Saccharomyces cerevisiae S288C: one gene and its partners. The gene in region 4 interacts genetically with the main gene of each other region. Each region holds a gene or a part of one and is shown on either strand. Other genes may lie near its edges. The genes, in order: PAC11, NUM1, IML3 and KAR3.

Evidence for each region.
Region 1: mutations in KAR3 (region 4) and PAC11 together harm fitness more than expected from each alone (negative genetic interaction), as found in Saccharomyces cerevisiae (4 studies listed by BioGRID, with this or other methods).
Region 2: mutations in KAR3 (region 4) and NUM1 together harm fitness more than expected from each alone (negative genetic interaction), as found in Saccharomyces cerevisiae (4 studies listed by BioGRID, with this or other methods).
Region 3: mutations in KAR3 (region 4) and IML3 together harm fitness more than expected from each alone (negative genetic interaction), as found in Saccharomyces cerevisiae (5 studies listed by BioGRID, with this or other methods).

What each region holds. Positions count from the first base shown.
Region 1 is NC_001136.10:1,428,240-1,436,159, reverse strand, and holds PAC11 (dynein intermediate chain), read left to right. Parts: upstream 1-5,370; coding exon 5,371-6,972; downstream 6,973-7,920. Other genes in the region: IZH1 (PAQR-type receptor), read right to left, coding at 286-1,236; serine/threonine protein kinase PKH1, read left to right, coding at 1,892-4,192; DNA replication protein SLD5, read right to left, coding at 4,264-5,148; 3,4-dihydroxy-2-butanone-4-phosphate synthase RIB3, read left to right, coding at 7,180-7,806. UniProt on the Saccharomyces cerevisiae protein: Required for viability in the absence of the kinesin-related CIN8 mitotic motor. May be a dynein intermediate chain.
Region 2 is NC_001136.10:753,856-762,728, forward strand, and holds the start of NUM1 (Num1p), read left to right. Parts: upstream 1-1,772; coding exon 1,773-8,873. Other genes in the region: KGD2 (dihydrolipoyl transsuccinylase), read right to left, coding at 1-1,211. UniProt on the Saccharomyces cerevisiae protein: Controls nuclear migration. NUM1 specifically controls the interaction of the bud neck cytoskeleton with the pre-divisional G2 nucleus. Functions in dynein-anchoring.
Region 3 is NC_001134.8:453,293-457,235, forward strand, and holds IML3 (Iml3p), read right to left. Parts: upstream 1,239-3,943; coding exon 501-1,238; downstream 1-500. Other genes in the region: AIM3 (Aim3p), read left to right, coding at 1,530-3,943. UniProt on the Saccharomyces cerevisiae protein: Component of the kinetochore, a multiprotein complex that assembles on centromeric DNA and attaches chromosomes to spindle microtubules, mediating chromosome segregation and sister chromatid segregation during meiosis and mitosis.
Region 4 is NC_001148.4:815,234-823,976, forward strand, and holds KAR3 (Kar3p), read right to left. Parts: upstream 2,691-8,743; coding exon 501-2,690; downstream 1-500. Other genes in the region: TAZ1 (lysophosphatidylcholine acyltransferase), read left to right, coding at 1-303; rRNA-processing protein RRP15, read left to right, coding at 3,090-3,842; ribosome biosynthesis protein NOC4, read right to left, coding at 4,532-6,190; ASN1 (asparagine synthase (glutamine-hydrolyzing) 1), read left to right, coding at 7,387-8,743. UniProt on the Saccharomyces cerevisiae protein: Minus end-directed microtubule (MT) motor involved in spindle midzone assembly, poleward transport of newly captured kinetochores along the lateral side of MTs, karyogamy (nuclear fusion) during mating, and with an essential function in meiosis I.

The DNA of each region.
Region 1 (7,920 bases), on a different chromosome or scaffold from region 4:
ACCGAAAAATATAAGGAAGTCTTTTAGTCCTATCCTTTTCTCTTCCTCTCTTTCCTTTGTAGTAGGTTCACTTATTCAAACGTTTAATTTTTCGGCATTACTCACTTTAGTAAGACCAAAATTAATTAGGCTAATATAGCGAAGTACCTGTCAAAATGCGATCTATGATAAAAGCATGATGTGACGAATATCTAAAAAGGAATAAAGACTTTTTTTGCATTTAATTATTTTCTAACCTTAGATATATAATGTTATTTATTTGATTTTGTAGTAGTTGTAGGCCCATCAAGGGTGGATATGAGAATGCATTAATTTGTAAGAATCGATAATGGCTTTCAAGTGGCATACAGAACCAAGAACCACCATAATATGAAATATTTGATGAGAGCTACCGAAGAAATCGAACTTCCCTGGAGCCAAAGTTTCAGGAATCCTAAACCCGTAGATTACAGCCCCTGAAATGTAAAAGAGAGCTTCCCAAAACACAAAGCTGACTTTTATTCTGTTAAGAACCCCTTGGATACCGAACTTGAAAAACCCTGTGGTCAATGGGAGTAAGCCACTAAATCCAAACAATATGAAAAACATGGCCCTAAATGGACGAAATGTGGAAGTGTTAAACTTGTCGTGGAGGACACAGACTGTACAAAATGTTGCCAGGACTAAAGTAACAATCGTGAAAAGACTGAAGTAGGATATGTGGTCGAAGTAACCAAAGTATATTATAGGGATCATAGAACAGGAAATCAAACTGATAATCCCCAAGTAGTCGAGCTTGCTCCAGAAATTGCTTTGCTTTTCAGAGTGTTGCTTCATGCAGTGGAAACAGCTACTGCACATGAGACATGAGAAAGCGCCCATCAAGAAAATGTTTATAACGGTGTAATCGGACCAGGAAGTGGAGGGGAAAACGGGAATTAGAAAGTAGTTGGTCAACGTAATGGCAAACACGAAGTATACGATAGCCGGTACCAAATGTGTATAAATGTTCACAGTCTCGTTGTTCCAATAAAATAAAGAATATAAGCACTTTTTCCATGACAGTGTTTCACGAACGTACCCGGTGAGAATTTTGTCATTATCTTTTTGCCATTCTGGCAACTCATCGAAATTGTGTAGCAGTTTTTGCTTTTCAAAAACTGTCTGGCCTGAGACAGCTTCCACCTTAATGGAGGCTCTCGTTGCCTTGCAGCAGACACTATCTTGGTTTCTTCTTCTAGTAGTGGTGATACTCATTTTTTTTCTTCTTTTATCTTGCTTGACTCAATTAAGGCGACTAATAACAAAACGAATGACGAAAATGGAAAACAATAGAAAAGTTAGGAACCAGAATCACTTTTGTAAAGTTAATATTGCGCTTGCGGAGCTCCTTACTGTTTCAACTGATGATACTGATATGCCTTTAGAAAAGAAATCAAATTCTATTAACAGAAGGGTGCCAACATGTACGTATATATATATGTGTGCGTGTGTATATATGTCTGACATATACATGAGTAACCGGCTAAGTAAGGTTTTTACGTTGATTGCTGCATCCATCGGTCGTGAGTATTGTCAAATTGCCGATGCCCTGCAGGCAAAAAAACCGTTGAAAAATCGTTGGGAAAATGGGCTTGCCCGACTGTCGGATTTAAGGGCTTGGACCCTAAAGGTTGCATGATAAGACCTACTTATTTTAGCATATAACCCTATAAAGGTGAAAATCTCAGTAGGGTTATTTTCGTTTAAGGGAGCATGAAAAATTCAAGTTAGTACATATTAATGGCTTTGAGATATTGCGGAGTGACAACAAGAGTAATACAGAGCAGGCGAGAAAGTAACGCTGGACAGTCACTATCTGGTACAACTTGCGCACGTGTACTTGCTTGAATACTGCTACTATATCATTAATATGGGAAATAGGTCTTTGACAGAGGCAGACCACGCCCTGCTGTCCAAGCCCTTGGTACCGACATCTGCGGAACATACACAAACGCAAGAGTATCCTCGTCCTTTCGTAGATGGCAGCAATTCTCAGAGCGGGTCTGAACTACAGGCTTCTCCACAAGGTCAGTTTGGAGAAAAGGCATTGACTAGTACTAATCGCTTCATTCCCCTGGCAAATGATGACCCGGGTATGCAGCACGAGATGGGTCTTGATCCCTCAATGAGGCGTAGAAGAGAAGAATGGGCAGAACGTGGTGCGGCAAAAATCGTCAAAGATGTTGTCGACCCAGCTACGGGGGAGTTAACTAAGCATGTTGTCAAGATGGGAATAAAGGACTTCAAGTTTGGAGAGCAACTCGGGGATGGATCATATTCTAGTGTTGTTCTGGCTACCGCCCGTGATTCGGGCAAGAAATATGCAGTAAAAGTGTTGAGTAAAGAATATCTGATCCGTCAAAAAAAAGTTAAATACGTCACAGTGGAGAAATTGGCTTTGCAGAAGCTGAATGGCACCAAGGGCATATTCAAGCTTTTCTTCACTTTCCAGGACGAGGCAAGCTTGTATTTCCTTCTAGAATATGCCCCCCACGGTGATTTCTTGGGCTTGATTAAGAAATATGGATCTTTAAACGAGACATGTGCACGCTATTATGCGTCGCAGATCATCGATGCCGTTGACTCCTTGCATAATATCGGCATTATTCACAGGGATATCAAGCCCGAAAACATATTGCTCGACAAAAATATGAAAGTGAAGTTGACGGATTTTGGTACAGCCAAAATTTTACCGGAGGAACCTTCGAACACCGCAGATGGCAAGCCTTATTTCGATTTGTATGCTAAGTCGAAATCATTTGTTGGTACCGCAGAATATGTTTCTCCTGAGCTACTGAATGATAATTATACAGATTCCCGTTGTGACATTTGGGCATTTGGTTGCATATTGTACCAAATGCTTGCGGGAAAACCGCCTTTTAAAGCTGCCAATGAATATTTGACATTCCAAAAAGTAATGAAGATTCAATATGCGTTTACTGCAGGTTTTCCGCAAATAGTAAAAGATTTAGTTAAAAAACTATTAGTTAGGGATCCAAATGATAGATTGACCATAAAGCAGATCAAAGCACACCTCTTTTTCCATGAAGTCAACTTTGAAGATGGTTCTGTTTGGGATGATAATCCACCGGAGATACAGCCATATAAAATAAATGCAGAGGCGATGAAGCCCCTGCAAAAGGTTTCTGAATCTGATACCACTGTCAAAATGGCCAACCTTCAGCTGGCTGGTAATGGACATGCAGATACTCCCCTGCAAGCACCAGCAGCGACCTCTCAAGAGCATTCTGTGATCAGTATGACTGCAGCAACCGCCGCATTCAATAAAGATTATACAAGTCAACCCAAATTGGGGAGCAAGTCAAGCACATCTGTTAGATCTGCCTCCAACAACACAGATCGCGAGGTAATTCAAAAGAAGGTTTCAAAAAATCGCGCATCTGTATCATCTCCTTCAATTTCTACTACATCACGGGGGAAAGATAATAGAAGTCGCTCTTCTGACGCCTTCTGGTCACGCTACTTGCAAAATATGGATGAACGTGTCTTGTTGATGAAGGAGGTAGCGCTTTCCACACGAAACTTAGAGGACTCACCTGTAGGTCTTGAGAACGTGGCTCTGGACTACAAGAACCCTCTTGATATCGAGCCTCCTACTGATAGTGCAGGCAAATTTTACAAGAAAATGTTTCTAATAACAAACCTAGGCAGAGCACTTGTTTTTGTCAAGAGAAGAAGTCTCAGCATGTGGGAAGAACAGGAATTTGAATTGCAATTCGAACTAGAGTTGAATGACGTTGAGAAGATACGCTTTATAAGTGATCAAGTCCTTGAAATTGACGGTTCCAGGACGATTTTCATAGGATGCAAAGAGAGAGCAGTTTTAATGAAACTATGGAAATTAATACATAATGGAATGACCGCCAAACCTAAAGTAGTATCGCCGAAGTCGGACCATAAAATGTTTGATAAGTTCATTCTTCAAAAAAGACAGAATACAAAAAAAAAGAATCAAGCTCCTCCCGTACCTCAATCGAATAGGCTAATAAATGGTTTACCGGACCGTTGCATCTTAAAGACACCCGAAGAAGGCGCACTTCACACAAAACGTCCCACTTCGTTGCAGACCCGATCGTCATCTAATTACTCAAAATTGCTGGCAAGATCGACACAAATGCGGAAAAACATGACACGGACAGATGAAAAATGAAACTGTGCTTGATAATATATATATATGCATATGTAAGACATGGTGAAGGGGAAAGTGTAATGCATAATAGTTCAAATAAGAGCAACTTTGTCGTCTCTCAGCAGATCCCTAATGACTTCATATCTCATAACGTAAATACTTCCAATAGTGAGTTCAACCTCTTCCTTTAAATCGGGTATTGTGACCGTGTAGCAAGGTTTACCGAACTCGTTTTCCTGCAATAGCGGATCTTCGTTCCATTTACCATCTGGTGGGCCGTTAACGTGTATAAAGACAAATTTGTTCCAGTCGGGCTCATCTATCATGTTTACGCTACCTTCTGTATCATTAATAGCCTGAAGTTCTTCGGGCATGTATTTCAGGATAGAATCATTGACTAGTTTCAACCAGATCAGGGAATGCGTGTCATGGTATTTGATTTCATCTTTGGATAGTAAATCTGTAAGAGAGATCAGCGAATTTTCATCTTCATTTAATTGGCGCAAATAAAGTGAGAATTTGTCAATTTTGCTTAGCCTACATCGTATGTAGCTTCTAATAACAAATTTCAATCTTTCTAACTCAGTTTCCATGCAGAGTAAAGGCAATTTAGATTCGTTAGGCATAGGCGGGTTCGCATTAGAAGCATTTTGCATATCGAGGAATCCCATTGAAATGTTTTCAATTAATTGAGATTGCATGGATATTCGATTCAATAATCTTTTCATCAACTGATGAGGATATGGTAAGAGTTCTGGCGAACACCGTTCATTTTTCCAAGACTTCATCAAGTCAGAAAAATCCTGCTGGGGAGAGACATATATCTGAGTCTTGTCATTCAAGTCTAAGGACGAACCCACTATTGTATTTGCATCTCTGTGGGTAGTGGAAGAAGAACCTTGCGTGATCTTGGTAGAGTCGACAGCAGTAGTTTCCTTATCCAGTTCTGCAAGAATATCGTCTATGTTAATGTCCATCACCGAGTCAGGTATCTTATTCTCCTTCCCAATACTAACAAATTTGGTTTTTCTTACCTATGGCTCAAATATAATGCTATTGAAATTTTCAGTACTAGTCCAAGGCGAAAAGAAAAAGAAATGAACTAGTTTTCGTGTTTTGCCGTAAACAAAGAGAAAAGGGAAAAAAGAGCATCACAGTTGGTTAATCAACCAAAGAGGAAGAAGGATTGAAACATTAAGATGGAGCGATTGAAGCAACTGGAGGAAAAAAGGAGACAATTGAAAGAGCTGCGTGAGAGGCGAAAACAAGCCAGCTTGTTCCCTGGGAGCGAGACGATGGGCCACCATCCCACAGAGGTGCACGCTAAGGCAACCATGGTCAGCGTTTCAGTGCAGACCGACATGGAGGAAGGCTCAAAGATTCAAGAGCCCCAATCTGCATATCTTCGACGTAAGGAGGTTATAACATACGACAAAGGCATTCAAACAGATCAAATTGAGGAAGAACAACTGCAAGAAAATGAAAATCACACCACTACTGATGCTGTCGCCATTGAAACTACTGCTGCCGACGAAAATAATAAAGACAAAGCTGAAAACGACCAGCCAAGGTTAGAACTAGCCAAACCTTTTCTTGTTGAAGAGGCGGCGGCAACGCTGAGCAACGCTAGTTTTGCGCGGCTGGAGACAGAGGTTTCTGCGTCAGGCCAGCAGGCGCCATCGAACATGCAACAGGATAAAGACAACCTCATGCAATGGAACATGGTCAGTGAGAATTTACAATCAGAGACAGACTGCGATTGTATCGCTCAGGAGTATGACCCAGGAAAAGGCGTCTTGGTTGTGGTTTATCTACGATTGCCGCCGGCAGACCTACAGTATGCTAGCAGCGAAGCGGCGTGGTCTGTGGTGAATGTAGTCAAGTGCGATAATGCCAGCGGACGCAACGGCCTCTTGATAGATATGGTAGAGTTCCGTGGTACGCGGATCATGACAGCCACGATCCTCCGTCGGTATCATCCGGAAAGCAATGTAATATCAATCTTGTTGGCGACCTTGACGGGCAAGATCATATTGTACGAGCTTAGATTGAAACAGAAAAAGCCAGAAACACCGGTAGTGTATGTCGTGCAGCGAAATATGGTGGCAAGACACTACTTTCAGCACCCAGTGGTGGCTGTAATTGAAACAAGCAGCGTGCAAGATCAAGAGAGAGTACTTGTGGCAGCTGATAATGGCAATATTATGGAGTTGAGCTGCCTGGACTTGACTGTTTTGCGGAAGCCACAGCAGCTCCGTCCTGTACCGCTATCACAGCTTTTATCTTTGGAGAATGATACTTGCACATATACGGAGCGATTGCAGCGGTTGGCAAAGTTTGATGAGGTAGGTATAGCTTGCATGGCGTACACGAGTGAGGACCCGCAGTACGTCTGGATCGGTGGCGAAGACGGTGGTATATACAAGGTTTTCTGGGACCAACCTGGGCCGCTGTACCTCTCTTTGGACAACAATGGGTTCCAACCTGCAGAAAACCACTCTACGAGGGTAACCGGGTTAGAGTTTCATTGGGACGATGCTCGGCGGCTAATGCTTCTATTATCATGTTCCACGGACTGGACGGTGCGGCTGTGGGACGCGCGAGCAGGGAAAGCTATCATAGGGGCGCCATTGTTGTTAGGGGGGCCCGTACTACGTGCACGCTGGCTCGAAAAAAACAATGGAGGGGAAAATAGTCGCACTCTACGGTGTCAAGTGTGGTGTGCAGATGGTCGCCTCGTTGTTGTAAATTGGGCTTTCGATGCTAAGACGTCCCTCTACACGGCCACTGTTATCTCCTAACGCCGCTTCGAGGCGGGTGAGCATAGGTTATTGCCTGATGAGTAATTTCTTAGCGAGAATTGATAAAAAAAAGCAAGGCTATTATTAATATACGTGCTATTGTGAAATTTTCATTGGCGTATATATGTGAGGTGAATGTAAATATCTCCAACAAAAAGCAGAAGGCTAAAAAAAAGGAAAGGAAAAGAAGAAAAGGCAACGTCGAAAATGTTTACACCAATTGATCAAGCTATAGAACACTTCAAGCAGAATAAGTTTGTAATTGTTATGGACGATGCCGGTCGTGAAAATGAAGGTGATCTTATTTGCGCTGCTGAAAATGTCAGCACTGAACAAATGGCCTTTCTTGTACGCCATTCCTCAGGCTACGTCTGTGCACCTATGACGAATGCCATTGCTGATAAGTTGGACCTTCCACTACTGAGAACAGGCATGAAGTTTGAATCCAATGATGACGACAGGCATGGAACTGCATACACAATAACTGTAGATGTAGCCCAAGGCACTACCACAGGTATTTCTGCTCACGACAGGTCGATGACTTGTAGGGCTCTTGCAGACTCTTCCTCTACGCCAAAATCATTTTTAAAACCAGGGCACATCTGTCCCTTGAGAGCCGCTGATGGCGGTGTTTTGCAGAGAAGAGGCCACACTGAGGCCGGTGTCGATTTGTGTAAACTAAGTGGACTAAGTCCCGTCGCTGTTATTGGCGAATTGGTTAACGATGACGAACAAGGAACTATGATGAGATTAAATGACTGCCAAGCGTTTGGTAAGAAACATGGCATTCCTTTGATCTCCATCGAAGAATTGGCCCAATATTTGAAGAAATAATCTGGTGAACATTTTCTCCATTCATTCTATCACAACAGACTCACACATATATACATGTATATATTTGTAACTTTGTATATATCTTTTGTTTTTTGACCTTTTTCTTCCTCTATG
Region 2 (8,873 bases), on a different chromosome or scaffold from region 4:
ACGGCTGTTTGTGGTGAATTGATGATAGGAGTACCGTATAATGAACCAAAAACACCACCATTAGATATGGTGAAAGTACCACCCGTCATATCTTCTAGGGTTAATTTGCCATCACGCGCTTTATGACTCAAGCGAACAATTTCGTTCTCAATATCTAAAACACTCAATGACTCTGCATTACGAACGACGGGGGTAACCAAACCCTTTGGAGTGGCCACAGCAACAGAAATATCTGTGTAATCACGATAAACAATCTGGTCACCTTCAATGGCACCATTGACGGCTGGAATATCCTTGGCGGCCAAGGTACATGCTTTGGAGAAAAGACCCATGAATCCGAATTTAGTACCGGTCTTCTTAATAATCTCATCTTTATACAGTTTCCTCATTTCCATCAAAGCTGACATGTCAACTTCGTTGAATGTGGTTAAGGAAGCAGCAGTGTTTTGAGACTCTTTTAATCTTTCGGCAATCCTCAATCTCATACGGTTCATTTTGACCCTGGTTTCTGTACGTGGAAATGGTGTGAAAGAGTTAGAGGCTACTGGGGGTTCCTGCGCCTTAGAGACGGTCTTCTTTGGTTGATCAGCCTTTTTTGGTTCTGTAACTTCTTTCTTTGGAGCGGCTTCTTTCTTTGGAGCAGCTTCTTTCTTTGAAGCCGTTTCCTCACTTGAGTTTTCCCTTGCGGCGACACCTTGCGATGGCTCCGCTTGTTCGGTAGGCTCTGGCTTAGATTCTCCAGAACCCTCAGCAGGTGCTTCACCAGGCTCGACCTGAGCTAACTCCTCACCAACAGTGACAGTGTCCTCTGGTTTGAAATTTAGCTTCGTAACAGTACCTGATACTGGCGAATTGACCTCAATATCAATTTTATCGGTCTCAATAGTGGCCAACAGCTCGTCCTCCTTAATAAAATCACCAACGTTTTTAGTATATTCCTTTAAAGAGCCTTCAGTCAGGGACTCTGCCATCGGAGGAACTTCAATAGAGGTAGATTTAAAACGATTGCTAGTTATGGAGAACGGATTCGCCGCAACTGAAATTTTCTTGCCGGATAAATATATTGAACCTAAGGATTCGACCTTGTTAGCTTGTTTGAACAAACTTGTAGAAGCATGTCTCTTGACGAAAGAAGCAGCCATAACATTTCTAGCCACTTTAGATTTTACTAAGGATTTGGCAGCTGCAGTACGCGTCGCTCTGGAAAGCATTGTTTAAATAATTATCTGAAGTTGTGTCTTTGGTTGTAACAAATGTGGTAGTGAAGTTTATAACAATATATCTATTCACTGATATATACCGTTAAAGATAGCTGCCTAATTTTTTATTTCGGATTTTTCTTTTTTTTACGTTAGATATTTCCTCCCCTGAAGCTCAAAAAGAGATTATATATGAAAAGTAGGCCTAGTTGAGGGAAAAAGGATTTGCATTTGCTGATAGACCAAGTGTGGATCCGAGCCCTGTAGTAGAATGGTGCTAATGTAGAATAAGAATAAGCTTTAGGAACCATAGATTCCTGCGTAATTTGTGGCCGCTTTATTGGCTCACTCCGGGCAGGACCTTAGTTTTGATTGGCTGCAAAAAAAGGGTTGTTAATATCGTCTTTGACGGAGATGCGGGTGGCTGGAATTGTTTTGTTTATTATTCCCCAAGAGAGAAGAGACAAGAAGTAGTAATGACGATGGAACAAAGATCGGTTCTAATAGGACCACAGGGTTGAATAGAGACGAGTAAAGACGCAACGGTCAAGGCTTTCCACGAGACGTTCGAATATGTCCCACAACAACAGGCATAAAAAGAATAACGATAAAGACAGCTCAGCAGGGCAGTATGCAAATAGCATTGACAATTCATTAAGCCAGGAAAGCGTCTCAACGAACGGCGTAACAAGGATGGCTAACTTAAAGGCTGATGAATGCGGCAGTGGTGATGAAGGAGATAAAACAAAGCGGTTTTCGATTTCAAGTATTTTGAGTAAAAGAGAGACAAAAGACGTGCTTCCGGAATTTGCAGGCAGTAGTTCCCACAATGGAGTACTCACGGCGAATTCATCAAAGGATATGAACTTTACTTTGGAACTAAGCGAGAATTTGTTGGTTGAGTGTAGGAAATTGCAATCCTCTAATGAAGCTAAAAATGAGCAAATCAAGTCTCTCAAGCAAATTAAAGAGTCATTAAGTGACAAGATTGAGGAGCTCACTAACCAAAAAAAGTCCTTCATGAAAGAGTTGGATTCAACTAAAGATTTAAACTGGGATTTAGAATCTAAATTAACAAACTTGAGCATGGAATGTAGGCAATTAAAAGAATTGAAGAAAAAGACTGAAAAATCTTGGAATGATGAAAAAGAAAGCCTGAAACTTCTGAAAACAGATTTGGAAATTTTAACATTAACAAAAAATGGCATGGAAAATGATCTTAGCTCTCAAAAACTTCATTACGATAAAGAGATTAGTGAATTAAAGGAAAGGATTTTAGACTTAAATAATGAAAACGACAGATTACTTATTAGTGTTTCTGATCTAACAAGTGAAATTAATTCCTTACAGAGCAATAGAACTGAAAGAATAAAAATTCAAAAGCAACTTGATGACGCCAAAGCATCTATTTCTTCGTTAAAAAGAAAAGTACAAAAGAAGTATTATCAAAAACAGCATACTTCCGATACTACAGTAACATCTGATCCTGATTCTGAGGGGACCACTAGTGAAGAAGACATTTTTGATATAGTGATCGAAATTGACCACATGATTGAAACAGGCCCCTCTGTCGAGGACATTTCTGAAGATCTTGTCAAGAAATACTCAGAAAAAAACAATATGATATTGTTATCGAATGATTCATATAAAAACTTACTACAAAAAAGTGAAAGTGCATCCAAACCAAAAGACGATGAATTAATGACCAAAGAGGTGGCTGAAAACCTGAATATGATCGCGTTACCAAATGATGACAATTACAGCAAAAAAGAGTTTTCGTTAGAATCTCATATTAAATATTTAGAAGCTTCTGGCTATAAAGTTCTTCCTCTAGAGGAGTTTGAGAACCTAAACGAATCCCTATCAAATCCATCATATAACTATCTCAAGGAAAAACTTCAGGCTTTGAAAAAGATACCCATCGATCAAAGTACGTTTAACTTGTTAAAAGAGCCTACTATTGATTTTTTACTGCCTTTAACATCCAAAATTGATTGCCTGATAATACCTACCAAAGATTATAATGACCTTTTTGAGAGTGTCAAGAATCCATCAATTGAACAAATGAAAAAATGCCTGGAAGCAAAGAACGACTTACAATCGAATATTTGTAAATGGCTGGAGGAGAGAAACGGCTGTAAATGGCTAAGTAATGATCTGTATTTTTCAATGGTTAATAAGATAGAAACACCTTCGAAACAATACCTGTCAGATAAGGCAAAAGAATACGACCAAGTGCTGATTGATACTAAAGCCTTAGAAGGTTTAAAGAACCCAACGATAGACTTTCTAAGAGAAAAAGCTTCTGCATCAGATTATTTATTACTCAAAAAAGAAGACTACGTGAGCCCATCACTGGAATACCTAGTTGAACATGCCAAGGCCACCAATCACCATTTACTATCGGATAGTGCATACGAAGACCTAGTCAAGTGCAAGGAGAATCCTGATATGGAATTCTTGAAGGAGAAGTCTGCCAAACTAGGCCACACTGTGGTATCCAACGAGGCATATTCTGAATTGGAAAAGAAACTAGAACAACCATCACTGGAATACCTAGTTGAACATGCCAAGGCGACCAATCACCATTTACTATCGGATAGTGCATACGAAGACCTAGTCAAGTGCAAGGAGAATCCTGATATGGAATTCTTGAAGGAGAAGTCTGCCAAACTAGGCCATACTGTGGTATCCAACGAGGCATATTCTGAATTGCAACGCAAATACTCAGAATTGGAGAAGGAAGTAGAACAACCATCTCTAGCATACTTAGTTGAACACGCCAAGGCTACCGATCACCATTTACTATCGGATAGTGCATACGAAGACCTAGTCAAGTGCAAGGAGAATCCTGATGTGGAATTCTTGAAGGAGAAGTCTGCTAAACTAGGCCATACTGTGGTATCTAGCGAGGAATATTCTGAATTGCAACGCAAATACTCAGAATTGGAGAAGGAAGTAGAACAACCATCACTAGCATACCTAGTCGAACACGCCAAGGCTACCGATCACCATTTACTATCGGATAGTGCATACGAAGAACTAGTCAAGTGCAAGGAGAATCCTGATATGGAATTCTTGAAGGAGAAGTCTGCCAAACTAGGCCACACTGTGGTATCCAACGAGGCATATTCTGAATTGGAAAAGAAACTAGAACAACCATCACTAGCATACCTAGTCGAACATGCCAAGGCTACCGATCACCATCTGCTATCGGATAGTGCATACGAAGACCTAGTCAAGTGCAAGGAAAATTCTGATGTAGAATTCTTGAAGGAGAAGTCTGCTAAACTAGGCCATACTGTGGTATCCAACGAAGCATATTCTGAATTGGAAAAGAAACTAGAACAACCATCACTAGCATACCTAGTCGAACATGCCAAGGCTACCGATCACCATCTGCTATCGGATAGTGCATACGAAGACCTAGTCAAGTGCAAGGAGAATCCTGATATGGAATTCTTGAAGGAGAAGTCTGCCAAACTAGGCCACACTGTGGTATCCAACGAGGCATATTCTGAATTGGAAAAGAAACTAGAACAACCATCACTGGAATACCTAGTTGAACATGCCAAGGCCACCAATCACCATTTACTATCGGATAGTGCATACGAAGACCTAGTCAAGTGCAAGGAGAATCCTGATATGGAATTCTTGAAGGAGAAGTCTGCCAAACTAGGCCACACTGTGGTATCCAACGAGGCATATTCTGAATTGGAAAAGAAACTAGAACAACCATCACTGGAATACCTAGTTGAACATGCCAAGGCCACCAATCACCATCTGCTATCGGATAGTGCATACGAAGAACTAGTCAAGTGCAAGGAAAATCCTGATGTAGAATTCTTGAAGGAGAAGTCTGCTAAACTAGGCCATACTGTGGTATCCAACGAAGCATATTCTGAATTGGAAAAGAAACTAGAACAACCATCACTGGAATACCTAGTTGAACATGCCAAGGCCACCAATCACCATCTGCTATCGGATAGTGCATACGAAGAACTAGTCAAGTGCAAGGAAAATCCTGATGTAGAATTCTTGAAGGAGAAGTCTGCTAAACTAGGCCATACTGTGGTATCCAACGAAGCATATTCTGAATTGGAAAAGAAACTAGAACAACCATCACTAGCATACCTAGTCGAACATGCCAAGGCTACCGATCACCATCTGCTATCGGATAGTGCATACGAAGACCTAGTCAAGTGCAAGGAAAATCCTGATGTAGAATTCTTGAAGGAGAAGTCTGCTAAACTAGGCCATACTGTGGTATCCAACGAAGCATATTCTGAATTGGAAAAGAAACTAGAACAACCATCACTAGCATACCTAGTCGAACATGCCAAGGCTACCGATCACCATCTGCTATCGGATAGTGCATACGAAGACCTAGTCAAGTGCAAGGAGAATCCTGATATGGAATTCTTGAAGGAGAAGTCTGCCAAACTAGGCCACACTGTGGTATCCAACGAGGCATATTCTGAATTGGAAAAGAAACTAGAACAACCATCACTGGAATACCTAGTTGAACATGCCAAGGCCACCAATCACCATCTGCTATCGGATAGTGCATACGAAGACCTAGTCAAGTGCAAGGAGAATCCTGATATGGAATTCTTGAAGGAGAAGTCTGCTAAACTGGGCCATACTGTGGTATCCAACAAGGAATATTCTGAATTGGAAAAGAAACTAGAACAACCATCACTGGAATACTTAGTCAAACATGCCGAACAAATACAATCAAAAATTATATCGATCTCGGACTTCAACACCTTAGCTAATCCATCTATGGAAGATATGGCTTCAAAATTGCAAAAGTTAGAATACCAGATTGTTTCGAACGATGAGTACATTGCATTGAAAAATACGATGGAAAAGCCGGACGTTGAGTTACTAAGATCCAAGTTGAAAGGTTACCATATAATTGATACAACAACGTACAATGAGCTAGTCAGCAATTTCAATTCTCCTACGTTGAAGTTTATTGAAGAGAAAGCCAAAAGCAAAGGTTATAGATTAATAGAACCTAATGAATACCTTGACTTGAATAGGATAGCCACTACACCTTCTAAAGAAGAGATTGATAACTTCTGCAAACAAATTGGGTGTTACGCTTTGGACTCTAAAGAATATGAAAGACTAAAAAATTCTCTGGAGAATCCCTCCAAGAAATTTATAGAAGAAAATGCCGCATTACTTGATCTTGTGCTAGTGGACAAAACGGAGTACCAAGCAATGAAAGATAATGCAAGCAACAAGAAATCACTTATTCCTTCAACCAAGGCACTTGATTTCGTTACAATGCCTGCCCCACAGCTTGCTTCTGCAGAGAAGTCATCACTACAAAAAAGAACTTTATCTGATATTGAAAATGAGTTAAAGGCCTTAGGCTACGTCGCAATTCGTAAAGAAAACCTGCCAAACCTAGAGAAACCAATTGTTGACAATGCCTCCAAAAATGATGTCTTGAACCTATGTTCGAAATTCAGTTTAGTACCATTGTCTACTGAAGAATATGATAATATGAGAAAGGAACACACTAAAATCTTAAATATTCTCGGTGATCCATCTATTGATTTCCTGAAGGAAAAATGTGAAAAATATCAAATGCTCATAATTAGTAAACATGATTACGAAGAAAAGCAAGAAGCCATTGAAAATCCAGGCTACGAATTTATTTTAGAAAAAGCATCAGCACTGGGATATGAATTAGTTAGCGAGGTTGAGCTGGATCGCATGAAACAAATGATTGATTCACCAGATATTGACTACATGCAAGAAAAGGCTGCCCGCAATGAAATGGTGTTGTTGAGGAACGAGGAGAAGGAAGCATTGCAAAAGAAAATAGAATATCCCTCTTTAACATTTTTAATCGAAAAGGCTGCTGGAATGAACAAAATACTTGTTGACCAAATCGAGTATGATGAAACTATAAGAAAATGCAATCATCCCACTCGGATGGAGCTAGAGGAATCCTGTCATCACTTGAACTTGGTTTTGCTCGACCAAAACGAGTACTCAACTCTAAGAGAACCTTTGGAAAATCGAAATGTTGAAGACTTAATTAACACCTTGAGCAAACTAAACTACATTGCAATTCCTAATACTATCTACCAAGATTTAATTGGAAAGTATGAGAATCCAAACTTTGATTATCTAAAGGATTCTTTGAACAAAATGGATTACGTCGCAATCTCTAGACAAGATTATGAATTGATGGTTGCTAAATACGAAAAGCCACAACTGGATTATTTGAAAATTTCTTCAGAGAAAATCGACCACATTGTAGTGCCTCTGTCTGAGTACAATTTAATGGTTACAAATTATAGAAATCCCAGCTTGAGCTACTTAAAAGAGAAAGCCGTTTTGAATAATCATATTTTAATAAAAGAAGATGACTATAAAAACATTTTAGCAGTATCAGAACATCCGACAGTGATCCACCTCTCCGAAAAGGCATCTTTATTAAATAAAGTCTTGGTAGACAAGGATGATTTTGCGACCATGTCACGCTCGATTGAGAAACCAACTATCGATTTCTTATCCACTAAGGCGCTATCAATGGGGAAAATACTAGTTAATGAATCTACGCATAAAAGAAACGAGAAACTATTATCTGAACCAGATTCTGAATTTTTGACAATGAAAGCCAAGGAGCAAGGGCTAATTATCATTTCAGAAAAGGAATATTCTGAACTGCGGGATCAAATAGATCGTCCTAGCCTAGATGTTTTGAAAGAAAAGGCCGCCATTTTTGATAGCATCATAGTAGAAAACATAGAATACCAACAACTGGTAAACACTACAAGTCCCTGCCCTCCCATTACTTATGAAGATTTGAAAGTATATGCCCACCAATTCGGTATGGAATTATGCCTCCAAAAACCCAACAAACTTTCTGGAGCTGAGCGTGCAGAGCGCATTGATGAACAATCAATAAATACGACCAGCAGTAACTCGACCACAACATCGAGCATGTTTACAGATGCACTAGATGATAATATCGAAGAGCTTAATCGTGTCGAATTGCAGAATAATGAAGATTATACTGACATAATCTCGAAATCATCCACAGTGAAAGATGCTACCATTTTCATTCCCGCCTATGAAAACATCAAGAATTCTGCTGAAAAATTAGGCTACAAATTAGTTCCGTTCGAAAAATCAAATATCAATCTGAAAAACATTGAAGCTCCATTATTTTCGAAGGACAACGATGACACTAGCGTTGCCAGTAGCATAGATCTTGATCACTTATCTAGAAAAGCAGAAAAATATGGTATGACCCTCATTTCTGATCAGGAATTTGAAGAATATCATATACTAAAAGATAACGCGGTTAATCTGAATGGTGGCATGGAAGAAATGAATAATCCCTTGTCAGAAAATCAAAACTTAGCAGCAAAAACCACAAACACAGCGCAAGAAGGTGCCTTCCAAAACACCGTTCCCCACAATGATATGGACAACGAAGAAGTCGAATATGGGCCGGATGATCCAACATTCACAGTAAGGCAACTCAAGAAACCCGCTGGCGATCGTAATTTGATTTTGACTAGTAGGGAGAAAACACTGTTATCAAGAGATGATAATATAATGAGTCAAAATGAGGCGGTTTATGGTGACGATATATCTGATAGCTTTGTAGATGAAAGCCAAGAAATCAAAAATGATGTA
Region 3 (3,943 bases), on a different chromosome or scaffold from region 4:
GCAGTTGCTGCAGTGTTATAAGAAAAATAGAATGAAATAAGATAAAGCTAGACGAATTGTGTCTATTTTCCTACATCGCCATAGAATTGCTTTTTTTTTCTTGATTAGATGAAATGAAAACAAGGAACTCTATTTGTTTTCATTTTGTTGGGCTTATCATGTAAAGAAAAATGAGTCGTGTCCTCTTTTTCCTCGTGCTTGTATGACTGCCGCACTTTCCGCTAAGTGCGCTCGTCTATATGATTTTATGCAAATATATACTGAAAGTTCAACAAAATTAAACTATGTGAACATTAGTTCATAGCAGCCATTGGCCCGTTGTGTCGGGATCTCTACACTAAATTGTAATGTCTCTGGGATTTTGTGGGGTGTCATTGCAGATATGACGAACCGGATATTACTGATAATGACGATGATTCATGAAGGTCTTCAGGTTCATATGTACAAAAAAGGTAGAGCTGTGGTTTTTTATTGTATCTTGGTGAATATTCTTTATAGTGTTACTCGCTGGTAAACTGAATCGATTGGAGTACAACTGCTAGAACTCTGTTCCTGAGACTTCGTGTTGAAGTGACAATGGATTCTCTCATTATTTTCGTGTGCCCTGCCAATATGACGGAAGTCAACGGTAATCTTTCCACCGCCATCCCCGTTTCATTATAAATGTAGGGTACAATTGCATCGTTATACGGGTGCATAGTATTACCATAGCCAAGAGCCAAACCCTCACAGCTTTCTCTCGGTATTTCTATACTGAATTGCCGCAAGTTTTTGTCTTGTGTTTCTGGTTCAAAATATAACTTTGAGCTAAACCAGGTAATTTGTTCGATGTTCTCTTTCGTTACGTGCACAATGCTGGCGTCAGCTAACTTTATCATGGTCTTCTGTTCAAATTTTATCGGCCACATAATGACACCGTACTCTGCCTTCAGCCACTGCAATACCACTTCATTGCGGTTATCTGTCCCGCAATAGCACAAAAACATCGGCACCTCCATTTTTGAGTTCCCCAAGAAAATGAACTTAGAGTAAGTGCCCTCATCTAAATTAGAGATGTCCAACCTCATTTCGTAACGGATATACTCGTCAGCGGCGGTACCACCATCAGGATCACTGGGTACTCGAATGGTTTGAATGTCTAAATCTACTTCCAGGTTTAGCAATTGGTTCAACTTTGCTATACCATTTTCCAGTGAAAGTTGCTTGCTGATTCCTAAAAACTTCCAAGTATAAGGCATTCCATCCAAAGGAAGTACGTTGATACCTATAGACAATCAAATCAACCATGCAGTCGACCAGATCATCCCACTATGGTTGTTGTCTATTTCATATCGGTGTCGGCATTTTTTTTTCCCGTAGTACCACTGGATCTGCCTAAATCGCGCTTCAGGAAAACCAGGGACCACCCTATTTTTTTATATTTCATCATCTAAATTAAGTGTATACATATATGGATAAAGTCATTTTGAGTTTACATAATCGTATGTTCGAGAGAGGTCTTTCATAAAAAAATCAAGTTATCAACCAGCATGGGATTTTGGGAGAACAACAAAGATTCCATCACTTCAGGGCTGAAGAGCGCCGGTAAATATGGTTACCAAGGAACAAAGTACGTTGCCAAGACAGGGTATAAGGCAAGTAAGAAGCACTATAACAACAGCAAAGCGCGTAGGGAAAGGAAGAGTGGTAAGAAAAATTCAAGTGATGAGGAGTATGATAGCGAAGATGAGATGGAGTACGAAAGAAAGCCGACCGATATAAGAAGTTTAAAAGACCCAAAGTCCTTTCCTCCCCCACCTTTGAAACCTGGACAAAAAACTTATACAGGACAACAGCAACAGCAAATGCCAAATGGTCAGGCCAGTTATGCTTTTCAGGGTGCATACCAAGGCCAACCTGGCGCAGGATCGACGGAACAGTCACAATACGCACAACCACAGTATAATCAGTATCCACAACAGCAGCTGCAACAAGGTGTAATGCCACAGCAACAGCAGCTGCAACAAGGTGTAGTGCCACAGCAGCCGCCTATATATGGAGAGCAAGTACCACCGTATGGGTCAAATTCTAATGCAACCAGCTACCAGTCGCTGCCGCAACAAAATCAACCCCAAAATGCAATTCCAAGTCAGGTATCTCTGAACTCTGCTTCTCAGCAAAGCACAGGGTTTGTCTCGCAAAATCTGCAATATGGTACCCAATCAAGTAATCCGGCACCATCACCGTCTTTCCAGAACGGTCTTCAGTGTCATCAGCAGCCGCAATACGTATCACATGGCTCAACCAATCTCGGACAATCCCAATTTCCATCGGGCCAACAGCAGCAGCCCACGACACAGTTTGGCCAGCAAGTTTTACCATCACCTGCACAACCACAACAGCAACAACAAGGGCAACCATTACCGCCCCCGCGCGGTCAAGTGATCTTGCCAGCGCCCGGAGAGCCTCTGTCAAATGGCTTTGGGCAACAGCAACAGCAACAGCAACAGCAACAGCAGCCTCTGAACCAAAACAACGCTTTGTTGCCACAAATGAACGTGGAAGGAGTTTCTGGGATGGCTGCGGTTCAGCCTGTCTATGGCCAAGCCATGTCAAGTACTACAAACATGCAAGATTCGAACCCCAGCTATGGAGCTTCACCCATGCAAGGTCAGCCTCCAGTCGGTGGACAACCGCCTGTGCCTGTAAGAATGCAGCCACAGCCACCGCAACCAATGCAACAGGGAAACATCTATCCGATTGAGCCTTCTCTTGATTCTACTGGCTCAACCCCACATTTTGAAGTTACTCCATTTGACCCAGACGCACCTGCTCCGAAGCCCAAAATCGATATTCCCACTGTAGACGTTAGTAGCCTTCCACCACCTCCCACTCATAGGGATAGAGGAGCAGTTGTACACCAGGAACCTGCGCCAAGTGGGAAAATACAGCCTAACACAACCTCTTCGGCGGCTTCATTGCCAGCAAAGCATTCAAGAACTACTACTGCAGACAATGAAAGGAACTCTGGAAACAAAGAAAACGATGAAAGTACCTCCAAGTCGTCCATTTTAGGACATTATGATGTAGATGTCAACATCATGCCACCTCCAAAACCTTTCAGACATGGACTTGATTCTGTACCTTCTGAGCACACCACGAAGAACGCACCAGAACGGGCAGTGCCAATTCTACCTCCTCGGAACAATGTTGAGCCTCCTCCTCCCCCATCACGAGGCAATTTTGAGAGGACAGAGTCGGTGCTGTCAACGAATGCCGCTAATGTACAGGAGGATCCCATTTCTAATTTTTTACCTCCACCGAAGCCATTTAGACATACTGAAACTAAACAAAATCAGAATAGTAAAGCATCACCTGTAGAAATGAAGGGTGAAGTTTTGCCAGGGCACCCCTCTGAGGAAGATAGAAACGTTGAACCATCGTTGGTACCTCAATCGAAACCGCAATCGCAATCTCAATTCAGAAGAGCTCATATGGAGACACAGCCTATTCAAAACTTCCAGCCACCACCAAAACCATTTAGGCGTTCACAATCGTCCAATTCTAGTGATAGTTCTTATACTATCGACGGACCTGAGGCAAATCATGGGCGTGGGCGTGGGCGTATAGCTAAGCACCATGATGGTGATGAATACAACCCCAAGAGTGAGAATTCTACAGAAAACGGTCGTTTGGGTGATGCCCCCAACAGCTTTATTAGAAAAAGAGCGCCAACCCCTCCGGCCCCATCCAGATCTGAGAAGTTACATGAGGGTACTATAACATCCGAAGTTGATAGTTCAAAAGATGCTAATAAATATGAAAAGTCAATACCTCCTGTAACTTCGTCTATTCAAGCGCAACAGTCTACGAAGAAGGCGCCTCCTCCTGTTGTAAAGCCAAAACCTAGAAATTTTTCTTTAAAGGCCAATGAATATCCCAAGGAACTTACTAGGGAAGCAAC
Region 4 (8,743 bases):
AAATACTATGATCCCAAAAATCCTAACGACCTCTCTGACGAATTGAAATATGGTAAAGAGGCGCAAGATTTAAGAAGCAGATTAGCCGCTGAACTGAGAGCCCATGTTGCTGAAATTAGAAATGAAGTTCGCAAATTACCACGCGAAGACCCTAGGTTCAAATCCCCCTCATGGTGGAAGCGGTTCAACACCACGGAAGGTAAATCGGACCCAGATGTTAAAGTCATTGGCGAAAATTGGGCAATAAGGAGGATGCAAAAGTTTCTGCCTCCAGAGGGTAAACCAAAGGGTAAGGATGATTGAAATTTAAGCAATTAAATTCGTGTAAATACTAGCATGTATGAGGTCATTTTTACATAACAAATATTCATTACTTACTTTGCTTTTTATCTGTGCGCATTAAAATGAGTTTCATATATAATATAGTTACATGTGATGAATGTATGGACAGTCTCTGTCATTTGTCAAAGGAGTGAAAAAGACCAGAAAAGGCCTTGACCTCATTTTCTACTAACCAATCTGGTAGAATTCACTTTAGACGCAAATCTTAACGAATTGAGAGTCTCATTAATATGAGAGGAGCTTGGTGAAATGTTTACAAACATTAATGTTTTCGAATCCCCAGTGAGTGAATATTGCAGTAGGTATGTCAGTTTTGAGTTCCTGAACGGTATATGTCTTTTGGTACTATCAGGCTGACCTAAAGCATGAATAACGTCACCTAAGCAACTTAAAGATTTATTTATATTTTGTGTTTCTCTTAATCTATCCCCTACAACTTGAGAGACATTTATTCTTTCGGAACCGGCCAAATCAACAAGATTTAGTGTGCCATACGAGTGTGCTCCAGTTTTTGCATTTGATCCAGACAAATGAATTATGAAAATACTGTGTGAACGGGAGGAATGCTCATTTGATGCTGTGCTAGCGGTGGATCTTAATTTATTTGCTTTTTTCAGGATTATTTCCACCATTTCTTCCGACTCAAGCTTGCAACTCGTAACATTCGTTATCGTGGTAGTCTTAGTTTCCTGATCATGACGTATTTCGTGCTTTAAGCCAATGCTTGTGTCTTCTTTATTATTATTATCACTTCTCAATAAGTCTACGATGTTCTCGTTGTAGATCTCAATGAATTCGCAGTTAACTTTATAATCCCATCCTTTTGTCTTTAATTTATTGATCCAGTTAAATATATGAGATATTGTGGACGGAATGATACCATCACCTGGATTTAACATCGTGAAAGTTTTCCCAGATCCTGTTTGTCCGTATGCGAAGATACAAACATTATATCCATCTAATGAACTTTGCACTAACTGACCAACTTCTTTAAAAACATCCACATTTGTATCCTGTTGATCAAATATTTTATCAAATTTGAATTCATGCACTTGCGCTGTGTTTTGTATTTTCGTCACTTCCATAGATTGAACACCACTATTGTCATCAAATTCATTAACATTAATAAGGCTAGTATCAGAATTTTCCAAATTTTTTAGAGCTGGACGAATCCTACAATAAACTCGTATATTTCCTCTTAACTCTTGTAACTCATTATGCAATGTGCGTCTAACCGTTTCCTCTTTAATCAGAATTTCATTCAACTCCTTCATACCCAGTTCAGTGTCTTTTATATATTCCTCAAGTTCTTTGATCTTTTCCAAAGTTTCTAAATTAGTTTTCTGTTTTAATGCCACCTCATCTCTCAGCCTTGTAGTTTCCTCTTCCTTTTCTTTAACTTTTACTTTGATAGCTTCATACGCGTTACGCTTTTCTGTTAAGAGCTTCTTTTTTTCTGCCAACTCAGGTTTTAATGTATTTTCGATTTCCTTTTTTATGCTTTCGATTTCTTGCATATGTTTATTATTCAGCTCTATATCCTTTTTCCACTGCGATTGGTACTCTGTAAGCCATTCTTCTTTTTCAAGCATATGCTTTTGTTCAACATCGTTCAACATTTCCTGTAAAGTGGAAGGGTTCATGGTGATTTTATTTCTTACCTCTTCTATTTTATCTAAAAGCGACGCTCTTTCATTTTCAAACTGTTTAATCTTCATAAATTTCAATTTCTCAATTTTTGTTTTGTATTCATTTTCCATTTGTTTCAGCTCTTTTTTATTAGATGCCGCTAGCTGCTTTAAATGTATTTCATGTCCTTCATTCATGAACTGCTTCTTTGACAAAAATTCTTCTTTAATCGAGATAAGTTCATTGTTTTTCAAATTCAGTTGCTGTTCAATTTTTATCTTTTCTTCACGAAGGGTTTCAAATTTGAGATTAACGGCATTGATTTTCTCTTTCGTTTCTGTTAGTTCATCTTTGAGTAAATCTAGTGTTGCCTTTTTCTCAAATAAGATTGCTTGTGTTCTATTGAGTTCATTAACATTTTCTTTATAAAAGGAAGTTACACCGGAGTTGCTTTTCTGGTTTCCATAAATCAAATTTGCTGTACCTTTATAATTCTTTAAAAGCTCGCGATTAGGTGACATGGATATGCGACTCTGACTAGCTAATGAGTGTCTATGAATATCCGTACGTTGCGGCTTCAGAAGAGTGTGCTTAGGCGGTGGAGTTGTTGTATTTCTTCTTTTGTGGCCATTCATAGCTAAAATATCATTCTTCGGCGATGGTGTCGAGAGATGCTGCGTAGATCTGCCTTTTGTGGGAGTACGTGGAAGTGATTCCATAGTTTAATAGTTGCCAGAATTTCTCTAAGTCCTTTATTTCAAAATCTACCTTTTTTAAACAAAGACTCCGGATAGTTGTTCTGGTATATTCAAATAGAATAATAAGAAACACAAAGAGCGGAAAAATTGATAGCTTTAATGCTTATATAATATTCGATAATTTTTTTAGCTGTAATACTCATCATCATATTTTGATTCGAGGCGCATCAAATTGTAAACAGTGTTTGTTTTGATTTTGTTTGAGATTCATTTTGGTGTATCTCCATTACCCTCTTATTGGAAAATTTTGAAAGAAAAAAATCTAGGATTCGATGCCCATAAGATATAAGGAAAGGTAATAAACAGATGCTATGAATAAAGCGATAGAGAAGCCGAAGGAAAATCAGTACATAATTGATCATGGGCTCCAAGCACAGAGTAGACACTAAGGATAAGAAAAGAACCAGAAAGAATGCAGAATTTGGGCGTGAAAAAAGGAATAGTGGCAACCAAGAGTTAAGTAATGAGCCGGAAAAAGATACAATAATGGAAGGTGATGAAGCCGAAGAAGACGAGCAGAATAGCTCTAGCGATGAATCATCTAAAATTATAGATAACGAACAAAGTGATGCTGAAGAAGATGATGATGAAGAAGAAGAGGACGACGACTTCCCAAGAAAGAAAAAATCGAAAAACAGCAAACATGATGATGGTTCTACTGGATTTTCTGCTGCAGTAAATGCTATTTTATCATCACATCTGAAAGCATACGACAGGAAGGACCCCATCATGGCTAGAAACAAAAAGGTGCTGAAGCAAAGTGAGTCAGAAAAGCTAGAATACAAGGCCAAAAAAGCATTGTTGGCAGAAAAAAAAAAGTTATTAGGTAAAGCCAGAAAGACGGATATTATTCCAATTGCTTCCGGAGAAGACAGGTCAGAAAATATTAGAAAAGTCCTTGAGAAGGAGACAGCGCTCAGAAAGATAGCTCAAAAAGGTGCCGTGAAATTATTTAACGCCATTTTAGCAACTCAAGTCAAGACAGAAAAGGAAGTATCCGAAAATTTAAGCGAAATTAAGAATAAAGAAGAAAAGAAAGAATTGATCACTGAAGTTTCCAAAGAAAAATTTTTGGATTTAGTTAAAGCTGCCGCAGGAAGCGACAATGAATAATCAACATGTTCATGTCAAAAGAAGAAAAAAAATAAAGAAATAAAAACTGTATATTATTTAGTCTATGTCAAGCGAGAAAGGGGCCCTATATCTTCCCTCCTCCTTGCAATTGAATTTTGTTTGCATTCTATATTATCATATAGTTTCATATCAATTGCAAAAACTTTTGCAGCCAATGTTACAAAATTGTTTTCAATCAAAGAAATACAGGTGTGGTGTCCTTCACCATCGATATATTAATATTAATATATCATGAATAAATATAAAAATTCAAGGTAATGTACTTGTGCACTTCTTTTAGAATATAGCAATTTCCCTTAGCTCTTTTTCAAATTGTAATTCTCTACAATACATAAAAAGAAATTGATCTTTGGTTCAACTTTATATATCGCAATAAGCAATTCTCAACATTATGAAAGTTTATCTAAATTAAACAATCTTCAACAATAGAATGGTCTCTTGGCCCAGTTGGTTAAGGCACCGTGCTAATAACGCGGGGATCAGCGGTTCGATCCCGCTAGAGACCATTTATTTTTGACCCAGGTTTTTTTCCTAGGCAAAATTGATAACAGGGACTTACTATTTTCTATTTTTTTTTTTTTTTACATCTCAAACAAGGGAAATCGATGACTCTGTTGATATAAATGTATATATACACACTTTTAAAACTTCGTTGTTCATCTTCGCTTTCACCATGCTACCCCAGGCAAGTAGACGTTACCTTGGGATGACGCTTCGCTATCGCCGTCTTCATTATCAAAAACGTTTGTGAAAGCCTCAAATTCTAACGTAGGAAGTGTCTTCAACTTTCTTGAAGATTCTGCATTGAGCAAAGAATCATAGTTCCAGTCTAAGAAATCTTCCATGTTATAACTTAGCTTCTTAAATGGTTGAGCAAATATCTTCGCCAACGTGGCTACATTAGGATGATAATGTTCCATCAATGACGCCAGCTCCCACAGAGAGGAATCCAGTGCATGAGTTAACTCAGGGTCCGATTCATGAACATCGAAGGGATCTACATAGTTTTCTTTCAGAGTTTTCAAGTTCGCCACTTGGTCAGGTGTCTGGAATGGGTTGGAAATGAAGGCTGGGTTGTGCAGCATAATCATACAATTCGGATGTTTCCTGATTAAATTATAGATGAAGGGAATCACGGTGACAATAGCAGAGGGTGGTGATTCTAGGGTGAGTCTGGCTAGCTTTTTGATGAAAGATGCTACTAAATGGGCGGATAAATGTGTTGATGACAAAAATACGTCCATTAACCTGAAAAATCTTGCTCTGTATTTAACATGCATTAAGTCTGGATTTATAATTTGATAAAGTTTCATATAAAAATTTGGATATTCCAAGTTGAATCTTTTCATCAATTCAAAAAGGCCATTCAGAGCCAAGATCGGAACAACACCGGCGTTTTTATTAGAGCTTTGCAAATTGTAGGAATCAGTAAGGAAATCCATTAGTTTAGTTGGAGTGTGGAAATGAGGTATTATTCTCTTATGCAAAATTAACAGAATAGACTTATACTGCTGTAAAGACAATTGGCCGTTTAAAAGGGATAACCAATTTTTCTCGAAATTGGACTTGAATTTGGACTCGTTCTCTATGGCTTGTGGGGGATTTGGTACAAAGATCTCTAAATCTGCATCAACACTAGAGCAATGTTTGTCATGATTTACTAAAGCTAACCATTTACCAACGTTTTTCAAAAGCAAGTCCTGGTAGGCTGGATCCTCTAATAGTTGGTTAAATTCTGATTGAAAGTAGTATTGAATATCTGCAAATTTCGTATAATATTTTTCCGTGAATTCTACTATGATTAAATTTTCAGACGCACCCGAGCTTTTGACATCCTCTATTTCACCCATGTTCGAGGACCATAGGGCGATGATTAACTTTCTGAATGTTTTATTGGGGAAAAATGGTGCGCCCTTTTCAGATGCAAAATGAGTTGATTCCAGCTCTGCAAGTTGAAGATAGACATCAAGCGAATCTAACCCAAGTGATGTTTCGAAAGGTATGTCCGAAATGATAGCTAACAGCTTCGTCTTGAACGCTTCATACACCTTTCTACACCAATTAACAAACTGTTCCTTCTCTAATGTGCTCTTTTTGGACGAAGGAAGGGTCAAGTCGCCGCGGGAAAACAGCTTTCTAAATATCTGGAATAGCGACATAACCAGAAATCTCAAATTTTTTTCTGTCTCATCTTCTTCCAATTGAGTAACATTTTCTGGAATCACTAGTTCATTGATTAACTTGATAATGGAGTTGTACTGCTTTCTGTCACCCGCAGCAGTCAGCCTCTTGGCAATATCTTTAATTTCTGATATAAGCAATACCATATTCTTTGACGTTTCTTTTTAATAGATCTCTCTTCATGGCAATAGAGGATGATAATTACATCTCATCTCATCTCATCAAAACCGTAATACACTTTTTTTTTTCTCAGTTGGAAAATTTTAGTGAAAAATTTCAAGAATAGCCCTAAACCTTCAAATACGAGGATTACCCGTAGAGAAGTGCTGAAAAACTTTTTTCTTTTTCTTTTTTTTCGATTTTCATTTAACAGGTATAAAAAGCGAAACACTCGGTACATATATTTTACCAAGACGCGTTAGATTTTCTTTGGAGGTTTCATTTAAAGAAACCAATGACCTTCCAAGTTTTTAAAAGAATACGATGATATTATTTGCGTTTCAAATCGAACAATTCTTCTCGGAGCGATCTGAGGTTTTAATGGAGATAGCGGTTCCTGCGCAACCCATTGATCTTGTTACATTCTTAAGAATGACAAGGACGCTTTTATAAAATTCTGATTCTTTTTTCTTTCATTCTTTTGTTGTTTTTGACTTGGGAGTAGTCATCTCATCTGTACACAAGTAGCTTTTTATATGTTCTTAAATTGTAGACTAGTCAAAACTTGTGTCCTTTAAACCGTGCCGAAACAGTTTTAAAGCGGACATCCAGGGAAACTTGCCGTTAACAATAAGTGACCTTGCATGGAAGACTGTCGATTGGTCTCTGTGGAAACCAGTGCATATCTAAATTAAATCTATTGTCATCACGAATGCCGCCCGTGTTCGTGCAACGTGAGCGCAAATACGCCTGGGGTCTGTCTTTCTGCGCTGGAAAGCACCTTCGGGCATCAACTACCGTTTCTTATCGCTGGCACTATCTATCCACCAATCACACGGCAGCAGTACTGCTGCCGTGGACGGCAAATTAGGTACAGGGCCTATGACTGTTATCATTTGGCAGGCTCAGACAGAGAGAGAGAGCACAAGGAAAAGAGCCTTAACTCATGTAACATTTGACTCATTCTGTAAACTGAAAATTTGCTGCCCACTCGAGATGACAAATAGTTCGTTCTTGAATTTATGCGCATTTATAGATACGCATATATAACCCTATAGTGAACGCCACTAGGAGACAGATTCTGTTTGGACCCTGATCGCATACTCTTCTTACCTTTACATAATAAAATAAGAAAAAGTATAACTTGCTTTACGCTAAGGATATAAATCGGACGTAACTTAAGATGTGTGGTATTTTCGCCGCTTTCAGGCACGAAGACGTGCATAGATATAAGCCAAAGGCTCTACAACTATCAAAAAGAATCAGACACCGTGGTCCAGATTGGTCCGGTAATGCTATCAAGAACTCCACTATATTTGTTCATGAAAGACTAGCCATTGTCGGTGTGGAATCCGGTGCTCAACCAATTACTTCTTCAGACGGAGAGTACATGCTATGTGTTAACGGTGAAATCTACAACCACATTCAATTAAGAGAAGAATGCGCAGACTACGAGTTTGGAACACTGAGTGACTGTGAGCCTATCATCCCAATGTACTTAAAGCACGATATCGACGCTCCTAAGTACTTGGATGGTATGTTTGCTTGGACTCTTTACGACGCTAAACAAGATCGTATTGTGGCAGCCAGAGACCCAATCGGTATTACGACATTATATATGGGACGCTCTTCCGCTTCTCCAAAGACCGTTTATTTTGCATCCGAACTAAAATGTTTGACTGACGACTGTGACACTATCACTGCATTCCCACCGGGCCACGTATACGATTCTAAGACTGACAAGATCACCCGTTACTTCACACCAGATTGGCTGGACGAAAAACGCATTCCTTCCACCCCAATAGATTACATGGCAATTAGACACTCCTTAGAAAAAGCCGTTAGAAAGAGATTAATGGCCGAAGTCCCATACGGTGTTCTATTGTCGGGTGGTTTGGACTCCTCTTTAATCGCTTCCATTGCTGCCCGTGAAACTGCAAAGGCCACTAACGATGTCGAACCATCAACTTACGATAGTAAGGCAAGACATCTAGCAGGTATCGACGATGACGGTAAGCTACACACTGCTGGTTGGACAAGTCTCCATTCCTTTGCCATCGGTTTACCAAATGCTCCAGATTTGCAAGCCGCAAGAAAGGTTGCCAAATTCATCGGCTCTATTCATCATGAACACACCTTTACATTACAAGAAGGTTTGGATGCTTTGGACGACGTGATCTACCATTTGGAAACTTACGACGTTACCACTATCAGAGCTTCCACTCCAATGTTCTTACTATCCAGAAAGATTAAGGCCCAAGGGGTCAAGATGGTTCTTTCCGGTGAAGGTTCCGATGAAATCTTCGGTGGTTATCTATATTTCGCACAAGCTCCTTCTGCGGCAGAATTTCACACTGAATCCGTGCAACGTGTCAAGAACTTGCATTTGGCAGATTGTTTGAGAGCTAACAAGTCTACGATGGCTTGGGGTCTAGAAGCTCGTGTTCCATTCTTAGACAGAGAATTTTTGCAATTGTGTATGAACATCGATCCAAATGAAAAGATGATTAAACCAAAGGAAGGACGTATTGAAAAGTACA